3 linked regions of the Drosophila melanogaster genome follow. The protein of the gene in region 2 interacts with the protein of the main gene of each other region in a pairwise test. Each region holds a gene or a part of one and is shown on either strand. Other genes may lie near its edges. The genes, in order: CG8854, Vtld and CG3124.

Region 1 (3,758 bases), on a different chromosome or scaffold from region 2:
TGGCAGTACAATTCGATATGAGGCCTACAATATCGATTGAAATCAGATATATGTACTCCTCAATCATTGATGTTACTACTTGTGCAATATTGTTGCCAATATGAAATAGCTTTGCAGTTTTTCCTTGCCATCACTAAGAGCATGTTGCAATGTCGCCGGTGCGAAGTATCTGATAGATAGATACCGACCGAAAGAGCCGAGCAAACACACACACATACGTATTGGAATTGGAGCAGAGATCAACGAGTCTGCCGCCAGTCAAAGGCAAACATCTGGTTGCGGCACCGCTCCCTTACCACCCCCTTACCATTACCGGAAAATGCATCACCACCGCCCCCCGCTGGGTGGCCAGGTGCAGCCGGTTTCCTGTGCGTTGGCAACGTGTGCTGCCCAAGTCCCAAAACGACGTTCGCCATTAAAAGCGGCAAATTGCTCTGGCTCCAGAGCCTCTGAATGGGTCCAAATAGTGCATATGTACCTATATTGGGGTTGGGATTCTACGGCAAGGAATGTAGGCCTGATGAACTGCAGGCTGGCTAAATGAACTCAATGGATGGATGGATGCCCGGTGAAGGCAACAATTTTCGAAGCTCTCGTGACCAGAAATCCAAATAACATTCGAAAGCTGAATGGCATGAGCTTGCAAGACATTTATAGATATATTTCTAAAGATATATATGTATATAAATACTAACATATGATAGGAATTTATATTTTTAAATAATTTAAGAAGCATAACATCTGCGGTCGCTGAGATTTCGCAAATCCTTTAAAATTCCCCAAACAATTATTTGTTAATTGCCTGCTTTTTTATCTGGTGACACATCTGACCACAAAGTGTGGCCCACTTGAGCTGGCTTAATTGAATTGCTTTTGGTTTGGTCTATGGGCCATCAATTGATTGTTTGCACTCGACACTCACCGCAATAGGAAATAATAACTGACCTGACTGAATAAACACCATAAATATCGGCACGACTTTGGGGATACCACACAAAAAACCAACCGCCACCGCACTGAAAGTGAAAGCTTTTTTTAAGGTTTTTTCAAACAATTAATTTTATAAATACCTTTTGGTAGCTAACAAAAAAAACTGCATAAATTATTTGGGCTTTAGCTGCTGGAGATGGGAAAAGTCTCGAATGAGAAATGATGCTCATCACCTGTTTTCTTTTGATGAATTCAAAGGCGGCGCACATTGCCCCACCCGAATGTCGGTTCAAGTTGAAGTTGAAGTTGAAGTGATGCAATTTCTCTCAGCAGCGATTTCAATTTCTTTCCGCAAGTGAAAAAGACTTGAACTTGGCAGCTGCTTTTTTTTTTAAACCACTTACTCTAGCAACGGCTATGGTCACTATGCGGTTAAGTTGAATGAGTTTCGAAAATGGGTGTAATATATGTTGGGTATGAATCAGCTTCTTTTCCTAAATGATGACAGTTCAAATTACAATTTCTACTTTTTAACTGAGTTTTTAGATACATTTCTTTAGAGCAACTTCAATTCGTTGTGTAATGAAGCCCAGTTTTGCTTACATATCTATGGCATTTCCCTGGCGCAGCCGCATTTCAACGACTCTCAAATTTGCATATCAATGTGACTTTGAGTAGCTCTGCGACTGTGACATAACCACCTGCTGTCATTTTAATTTACTGCTAATTAATTTACAGGCCGGCCGAAATTACATCTAGCCAAAGACATAAAGACTGAATGGGATCTCTGATTAATTTTGATGGAAATTGGCAAGCGAACATGTGAGGTGAGCTCAGACCGAGGATCAAACCCGTTCGAACATGCTGGCAGAGAAGCGCCAAAGACTTGTAACTTGGCTCAAACCGTTGGCCAAAACAGTTGAGCGCCGGTCGAAGAAGCGAACACAACGCGGTTGCGCATGCGCGTAGATCATGTGCCGATCGGACGTGTTTGAAATTTACAATTCACAAATTGGCTAAAAGAGCGTTCTATAACCATAAAAGTGCTCTGTGACAAGTGACCGACGGCATAAAACAAATTCAAATTTATAACCAACACCAAAACCAAATAAATAACAAGGTGAATGAAACTGCCCAGAAAACTGTGTCAAAAGCAAAGAAAGTTGCTATTTTTTTAGTGTGGGCAGGCTGCCAAGTATCTTTTTAGGTGTATCTTCAGCTCCGTCTGATGTTCGTTTTCAATCTTTTGCGGGCTTGTCGAGATTGAGTGATCATCTGCGTGGGTCTGTGCCACATAAATTCGAATGCATCTCAGGTGTAATGTAATGATCACCATTTTAGGGCACTACGCCCAGGTATGCGAGAGAACTGTTCTTCTCAGGTGATTCATGATAAAAACTTCTGCTCGTCTCGCATACTTTTTTCAAAGGTGCGGCAGAAGATGTGACTTTTTAAATTCATTTTACCCTGCTCTCGATTGGTTTGATGTAAATCCACAATTGGGCATGATATCACTCGAATAAATATTTATATATTTGAATACTTAGCAAGGTCGATTGGCATTTGGCAAACGTGTTTCCAGTTATTTTGCATTATAATCCGATGTCGAAATATTTACCTTACCTTTGCATAATTTGTGCTGAATGAGACATGGACAGGTTGTTAATTATTACCTTAATTGAAATATTCGGAGAAAACCAAAGTCAATCGAATAATATTATGGAGGTGGGCAAAATTTTGAGTAGTAAAATATAAATAGTGGAATATCTTACCAGTTAATATTTATAAAGAGTGTTTGTGGTTGCTACCTACAAACCTACATTTATCTTAAATAAGTTTATTTTTAGTATACTTAAATTTAATCTTTATTTAAATATCCCATTACGGTCATCCGTCTTAATAGCATTTAATAGCCCGGATTTGCACAAATATTGATAGTTGTCTTTTATTTTAAGCCTAACTCAGGTGGCCAAAACCACTATCAATCACCAAACACGCTAACAAGCCCGACTGATTACACAAAGTAACTCGACGCGAACTTGTCACATTTGATATGCAAATGGCCAGAAGCCAAAGTCAAAGCGGCACTTTACGCTGAAATGAATCTGAATCCGAAATTGAATCTGTATCTGAGGTTGACCGGGGCAATCAGCCAACCGCAGTGAAGGAGTGGAAGTGCCGTCCGAAGATGCCAATTAATTAACAGGGTCTTAGGGGTTTTAAGTGGTTCCATATCCACGAATGTGTTTGCATATTCAACTCTAATTGCGTCTAAACACTGCGCATGCAATTAACTTTTCACGGTAAAGGGCCACGTGGCGCATACGTAATGCGATTTTCACCCACCAAGAACATTTATTATTCTTATCAATTTATTCATCAGTTATCTAGAATAATAACTGGAATATCAAGTATAGAGTGCAGAATTTGTATGCCTACATTGTTTGTTTTGGATTGACTACATTTTGGAGTTCCTTTAAATAATAAATAGCTTAAAAAACAAGCCCTAAACCATTTTCACTCGCGTGCAAATCACTGAAAGTGCATTCAGATGGGCTTCTGTGTGCATATTTTGTTTTGTTTGGATATATGCCATAAAAAGTTTATAGACCCTGAAAGATACACAGATAAACGATTTCATTTGCGTGTCACAGCCAAGTCACGTTGTTTTATTTTTTTTTCGCGGTACAGTTTGTGTATTTTATAAAAAATATATTCCCATCGGAAACCTTTTTTCTTGATCAGGCCATACAAATGTTAATCGATAACCGAAGAGATTAAAACAAACCAGGCAAAAACAAAACCAACTCAACATTTTTATGCAAATG
Region 2 (3,611 bases):
CCGCTAATGCATAAAATCCCCCACACAGATGTTCGGCTCTCCCGAACTAATTGTTTACTCAAGTGTAATTAGGTAAGAGGAATAGAAAATAGGCAAATATCAACAGAAAGGTAAATACATACGTGCTCACAATTAAATAATTTCTATATCATTATTTAGTTCAGCATTAATTAGGAGTTAAATTTTTCATACGTTCACATGTATGTACATAACAACATGGAAAGTTGTTTAGGTGACTTGCAAAAGTATATTGTCTTCATTCTTTGAATCCGACGATTAACTGCGTGCCTTAAAGAACTTTTAACTAAACGATAGAGAACATTATTGTCCTCTTGTCCGACTCTTTGATACCAGTTACTTAGCTCAACGACCAAGAAGTTTCTACTTCTTAGCAGTTCCAGCTAACTGTTTATAGCTCCTAAGATTTCGATGATTATACGGACAACAAACAGACGGACATTGAGAGACTGCACTTATACTTTATAGGGTCGGAAATCAATCTTGTATCAACCTTGAACAGACTAGACTTACCATATAGCTAAATCTTGCAAAATCTGTCTTTAAGGATACAATGCAAATTGGAGTTCGTTATTTATTAGTTGATGGTCAACAGAGAATTTTGAATTAAATTTCTAAACGCTTAACACACAAATTTTGCTATATGAAACTTGAGATTTTGTCCTAAAATAGCCCCAAAAATGGGTTCCGAAAGGTTGGCCCGCGCCTAGATCGACGTCCTTGGATGTTGGCGACTTTGTAGTAAACCTGGCAACATGATTAGTGCTTAGGCATGTTCATCTTAAACGGCTTCTTCAGGTCTGCGGCAATCTTTTTTTGGATGGCCGGCGGAATGTTCTTGGCCACCCCCGGCTGAGAGCTGAGGAAGGAGATTTCGAAGAGCGAGGGCCGGCTGGAGTAGACATTGTGTAACATGCTGATGAACCAGAAGAGCAGGTCGTCCATGTTCTCGAGCGTGCACTGGGCGAAGACGGCTCCCGCATCCCGGCCGTGTTGGTGGGAGTCGAAGAGGGCGACGATCGAGGCTCGGAAATCGAAGGTTACCATCACCGTTCGACTGTCCGCTATGATGGCGGCGAAGAGGTTAGTGGGTACATTGTTTCGCACGCTGGCGTGCTGGAACATCTGGAGTGTTATCTGGAAAACCCGCGACAACTGCACAGCAACGTTCCGGTTGTACATGGGATTGCTGGGATCGGCCTCCATGTGCGTGTAAAACCACTCCTCCAGCCGGAAGTTCATCTTGTGCTGCGACCGAATGGCGGCGATAGCATCCGGAATGTTGAGGTTGAGATTCCTGGCGTGCGGCGTATTAGTTGTAATCACATTGTGGTACACGCTGTTTCCGTCGTTAATGGCGTTGCCGAAGAGCTCCCATCCCCGCAGCGGCAGATCGGAGACCCTGTGATAGAATCTGTCCGCCTTGGCCACCTTGTCGGCCAGTATTAGGGAAATGATGGTGCAGGAGTTGGTGCCGCTCCGCTGGAACTCCCCGAATCGCGACTGACAGAAGTCGCGCGGAAACCACCAGATGTTCAGGTTGTCGATCTGCTCGTGAATGGCCATGGCGCCGGGTTTTTGATCGCCCGGGGATCGGTTGTTGGTCCTCGGATCCTGTGTTCAGCGACGTCTTAATCTTAGGTTGCGTTTCCGGATCCTGGTGCTCCGGAGACGCAGTGGTAAACCCGGCCCTGGCGCTGTTTCCGTAGTGCCACTGTCACATAGTTCGCAAGTGCAATGACCCCTAGGCTTCAAGGCGCACGTGTGGGTATAGAGTTGGTGGTTTATGTGGGGATCTAGTGATCGAACCCGTCAACAGCACTATGTCCTCGGATTCGGGATCGAGCTCAGGATTGCCGCAACTCCTCTCCACTCCACTACGCTCTAAGCACGGGCTTTGGATTTCAAGTAAACATCGAATTTTGAGTGTCTTTTGCCGGAGGAGCGTTCGACGGGTAAAGGTGAAAACTTTCGAGTCGGAAAGACAAAAATTTCTAGACCAACAACTGACAAATAACGAACATGATGTGAGATTTCAGACCTACGGGGATCTGATTATGAAAATGAGAGCCCATTTGACGCAATTTGAAAAGGTATTGCTACGTTCTTATAGGTCCTTGAATATAGTATTTCCATTTTACATTTAAAGTAATTGTAATAGTTGAAACTATATGATTATTCCAACAAATTTTAAGGTGTTCTAGCTCTATGTGAGCATTACACCTTACTATGCTAAAGGAGTACATTCAGAGTTTTTCAATTAGCTTAGTTAAAAACTCATCAATGAAATTGAAATGGTTTTTAGATTTTGTCTACTTCAGCGCAACAGCTATTTACATCCATGATACCGACTTAAGTATTTTTTAACTTAAATAGGTTGTTTATAGACCAATCTATATACGTATTAAACAAGAAGATCTGCTAATCTAGATTCTAGGAAAGACGATTTCCGCCTTAGCCACACATAAATGTATTCAAATGCCATTCTTGGAAACGCGTTTCGCATTGTGTCAAAATGGTGCGCAAATATTTATCAGTGGCGCCCAAATTTAGCTAGCCCAGCCAAGTAGTTCTAATTTTAAATTGCAACATTGAAGAATATACAGCTTAAAAAACAAAAACAAATATGGTTTGCGAAGTGTGTCGAAAATGCAAATTTATGGCTGGCTGCTTGAGCATTTTGTTGATTGAGATTGGGGTGCTCTAAAGATTACCCGCGTCTAAGTGGCTACACTTTGAATTCCTCGTGAATATTTGTTTGAAATTATCAGGAAAATTTGTGAATTCCTAAGGTTTTCCTAAGTCTCTTATCATGTCTTAAGGATTGGTTTTGCTTTTAATTAAACTCAGCTTATGGCTTTTCAAAGCAATTCGATATTAATCAATTTTATGTTCTATTGCTGGAAATTTAATGTGCTCCACAGTTAACCGATGTCCCAGTCGTTTGTGGCAACTTTTTTTTAAATTAACTATAATCAAATAGTTGCCCTACATTCCGTTATATACTGGCTTTCGCATTTCTTTTATTCTTTTAATTAAACTTACACGTGAGCCTGTTAAAAAAAAAAAAAAAGACAAACAGGGATGAACGCCATCATCCGACCGAACAGTTGAGTAATCCAATCCCATGGAATAAGCTTTCGCTTTAGCGCAAACAATCAGGACAATGCTGTGGGGAGGGATTGTGTTGGCGTGGACAGGGATAATAACAAACATATGTCTGAAACGAAATCGCCGGCGATATATATATTTAATGCCTCAAACGAAATTGCATAATGGCAAAATCAACGCATGCATAATTAATAATAACAAGCTGTGCGCTCCGCATTATGGGCCTCCATTCCGGAGGATACATATGTACGAATGTATATGGCATTCCTTGGTGGAAAAAGGCCTCTGCAGTAGCTGATAAGCTACTTATCAGTGATTCGCTCCCAATTCCCATGGCAAAGAACTGAACAGCCTAATTAAAAAATTCCTAAGCTCGTTTCGGCTGCCGACGGACGAGTGGTCAACGATATTGAAGTTGGACATTCCAACATTTGACATTTCCCTGCGTGGGCACTTGCCTGGCATCCGGTTGCCTGTTGGAG
Region 3 (3,758 bases), on a different chromosome or scaffold from region 2:
TGGAGGGACGCAGGAAAGGGATTTGGGCGGGGCCTGGAACGGAGGGAGAAAGCCAACCATCCATCCAACCAACCAACCAACCAACCAACTGATGCCTTTTGCCGATAAAGCCATTGTTTATACTCCGCACAGCGACTGGGTTGTGGATTGCATTTTGGCCATAAGTTGGCAACATTTTTTATGCGTTCATCATGCGGTCAGCATAAATTTTTCATCGCCATTTCAGCTTTTCCCTCGTCCAATTTTCCTTGGCCGAGCCCCCCACCCTCCACCACACTCCGCTTGCCGCGAACATGTTGCCAATTTTGATGTCTGATGGCCATAAATCAGGGCGTTTAAAGTCGCCAGATGAAAAACAACGAATGAATAATTCCATTTCGGCCATAAACATATAAACTATTTATTCCACACCAATATGTTTGTGGCCAAGTCTGTGTTTCTTGTGGGTTTGAGTATCTGTTTGCTTGCGTAGGGGAAGTCTTGGAACAAATAAATAAAGAGACACCAATCATGCAAAAGTACAAAAACAACTAATGATGGGCTCAAGGGTTTCGTCAACGCCAATGGGGGACCTTGCTAACCGCTTTTCCTGAAAGCAGAACATTGTATATCATTCTTTTATGCAAAAAAAAAAAGTGAGTACTCACCACAATTGAATGATTGATTGCCTTTGCTGTACTTCGATGAATCGTGTATCGATGGTGCGCTAAGGGTTAGAGATTAAAAAGGATTGCTATGGATCGGATTAGGATGCCGAACGCCCCTGGGCGAGATCTACTTACTTTAGACCGTTCCGCATATCCCGGTACATGGGAGCGTCGTAGGAGGTCTTCATCCGGTTGACCTGTTGGTGTCCCTGGCTCGGCTGCTGATAGTGCTGCTGCTGCTGTTGCTGCTGCTGCTGGTGCTGCTGGTGGTACTGCGGCTGGTGACTCTGCATAGGCTGACTGTATTGCCACATATTGGAGCTGTTCATCATTTGGTTGGGGCTGGGACCGGAGCTCCAGCCGCCAGCTTGCGAGGGCGACGAGGGACAGGGCGCAGACATCACAGCATTGCAGCCGCCCGTCAGACGTCCTTGATGCATTTGGGTGGTAGATCCACTGGGATTGTACTGTTGCAGCGGCTGCATCTGACCCATCGAGGTCATCGGCTGCAGGTCAGGCAGCACTGCATTGATCCCGGGGGCATCGATGGCGCCCATGGGATTGCCCATCATGGGCATCATGGTCATGCTGCTCAGGGGAGTCACCGCTCCAATCGGCAGCTGGGTGGACATCGTGGACATGGGGGTCATCTGATTGCCCCCTTGCATCATGCCCAGCGGCATACCCTGCATTGGGTACGACGAAGCGCCCGACTGGCACACGGGCATCTGCATCTGCAGATTCATCTGCGGTGGATTCAGGGGCTGCATGGCCATGGACTGTCCTTGACCCTGACCTACTCCCATGCTTAGGGGGTACTGAGGAACGCTCTTCATCTGAAATATAGACTTAGACTTATTACCAAGTCTACAGAACCAATGCAACTATGTGTACCTTGGAATCGGCGTACATGCCGTAGTCAGCTTCGTAAGGCACTGAACAAAAATTCATTTTCGATGTGTGGAAAGCTCGAGATACTCCGAAAGTGTTTATAAAATATTTCACTCCAAATTTGTATATAACTTAAATTTTGAGAATTTTTTTTTTCTTACTTTCTACCAATAGATCTGAATCCTACGATGAAATAAATACGAATGAAGTGTGTAGAGGAAAACTTCCCAGACATCTGACAGAGATGGGAAAAGCCTACTATGATTGAATAGAATACAATTTTAGCGTGTTTTTTTCATGATCATCTCAAAGGCTTTGGATAATAATATTATCAAAAACGTCAGAGTATTTATCGTATTGTATATTTCCAAATTACTTGTTATCACATCGAGTAAATGGGACGCAAAGGCCACAAGACTAGAAGGAAAGTTAAAGTCCACTCGAAGGTCCATCCTCCTCAGAAAATTAAAGCGAAGCTGCCGAAAAGAGATAAACGTAGCACACTTCGTCCCAAGATTAATAATTCGAAGGTTTTTCACGTGAACTGCTGCAAGTACAAGATCCGTTCGAGACCCATGAGGCGCAATCAGTGCAACCTGGCCACCCAGTGCCCCTCCCACACGGTCGCCATCGCCCCGTCTGTGCCGCTCCTGCATCATCCTGTCCGGCGGAAGGTGGTCCATATGCCGGAAACCGTGGTCATGCACATGCGGAATATGGAGGACGCCCGCCGAGTGGCGGTTAAGCACAGAAGAACCCTTATTCAAACCCATGTTCCTTCGCCGGATGTGGATGATGACGAAGATACACACCAAATCGATCGGAGGTCAAGGCAAGCCTATAGGATGGGTCAAATGAGACCCTTATCCAGCGACGTGGATGTGGATGACATGGATGTGGACCCGTTTCAGTAGGGATGTGTGTTGGAAATATATTGTAGGTACTGTGGTAATTGTTTAACTTCTCGTTTACAAAATGCCCATGAGTCCTACTTTATTTCTAGTTGCCAATCCACATATCCCGTGAGACGAGGGATTCCATTGCCACTTCTAACTAGTTGCTTCGCCCCATGGGCATATCGTGATCATCCATAAAACCACGCCCCTCCGCCAGTCTCCCCAAGCCCAACCAAGCTGTCCAGGACAATTAATTTTACACCGGCTTGTCAGCTTATTGTTTATCTACATAACTACGGAACACGGAGAACAGAGAACAGAGGACGACTGCCCTGAGCTGTCGTGTCATTTATTCAGCTGCTCCGACCGGGCTCGACTTTCGATATCCTTTGGGCCGCGGTGCAGTTGCCACACCATTTATGCCATTAAGTCATTAGCTTTGTTTAACAAATAACAAACTGTCAATGAGTGATTAACGATGTTTTTCGCATGAACTGCAATTAGCCGCCGCCGCCGCCGCCGCCGCCGCCGACGCCATGGACGTGGACTTCGTCGTTTGCCGCCCGACTTCTTTTTCCTGACAAATGGGTGTGATTTCGCTCCCGGCGGTGCTCCAGTGGATCCGAGGTGCACTGGCTGGATGTGGATTGATGGTGGTGGTGGCGGGCGGATGGTAGATGGTGGGCTCACCGGGTGACAAGCACTCGTTATTGATGCGCCCCCAAGCTGCCGTCACTTGGCAATTATTGTGTATTGTGCTCCGAGTCAACGGCATTTGCCATAGTCATAGACATGGTCGTGGAACAGTCACACTCATCGCAGTTTGCATTTATCATTGAAGGGTAGTGCTGGCATTTTAAGATGCCATTTTAGAATAGTAAAGTGTTGAATAGCATTCAATTAAATTAAAAGTCTTACTTTGCAGCTAATTGATTCATTGGGCATTTGGATATTTGAATAGAAATGATTTGTATGAACCATAGCCTTTTTATCATAACTTGGCCAAAATGAGTCCCACGCCAAAAAAATTAACATTCTTGTACATCTATTGATCTGTACTTTCATTTTGTATCAAATTTTGGTCAAATAAAGAAAATTTTTTTTTTTACAATTTTCGCATTTTTTGTAAGGGGTTACATCGTCAAAATTGGCAAAAAATCTAAAAAAATTAAAATGTTCAAATTGAAATGTCAATCGATTGGGAATATGAATACGAGTTGAACGAGGTACTACAATCAAGATTTTGATCATTTTATCGGTTGCGTTAGCTAAAATACGTGTTTTTGGTCGGAAAAAAGAAGGTTTTTCGCCATATATCAGCCAA

Evidence for each region.
Region 1: the proteins of Vtld (region 2) and CG8854 interact in a two-hybrid assay, tested with the Drosophila melanogaster proteins (one large-scale study listed by BioGRID).
Region 3: the proteins of Vtld (region 2) and CG3124 interact in a two-hybrid assay, tested with the Drosophila melanogaster proteins (one large-scale study listed by BioGRID).

The regions. Positions count from the first base shown.
Region 1 is NT_033778.4:12,227,400-12,231,157, reverse strand, and holds the start of CG8854 (uncharacterized protein), read left to right. Parts: upstream 1-1,847; 5' UTR 1,848-2,050; intron 2,051-3,758.
Region 2 is NT_037436.4:19,758,804-19,762,414, reverse strand, and holds Vtld (viral tegument-like deubiquitinase), read right to left. Parts: upstream 2,007-3,611; 5' UTR 1,585-2,006; coding exon 778-1,584; 3' UTR 598-777; downstream 1-597.
Region 3 is NT_033778.4:23,282,371-23,286,128, forward strand, and holds CG3124 (uncharacterized protein), read right to left. Parts: upstream 1,744-3,758; 5' UTR 1,599-1,743; coding exon 1,542-1,598; intron 1,484-1,541; coding exon 783-1,483; intron 734-782; coding exon of another isoform or gene 721-733; exon of another isoform or gene 707-720; coding exon 648-706; intron 590-647; coding exon 555-589; 3' UTR 373-554; downstream 1-372. Other genes in the region: atlas, read left to right, coding at 1,934-2,452.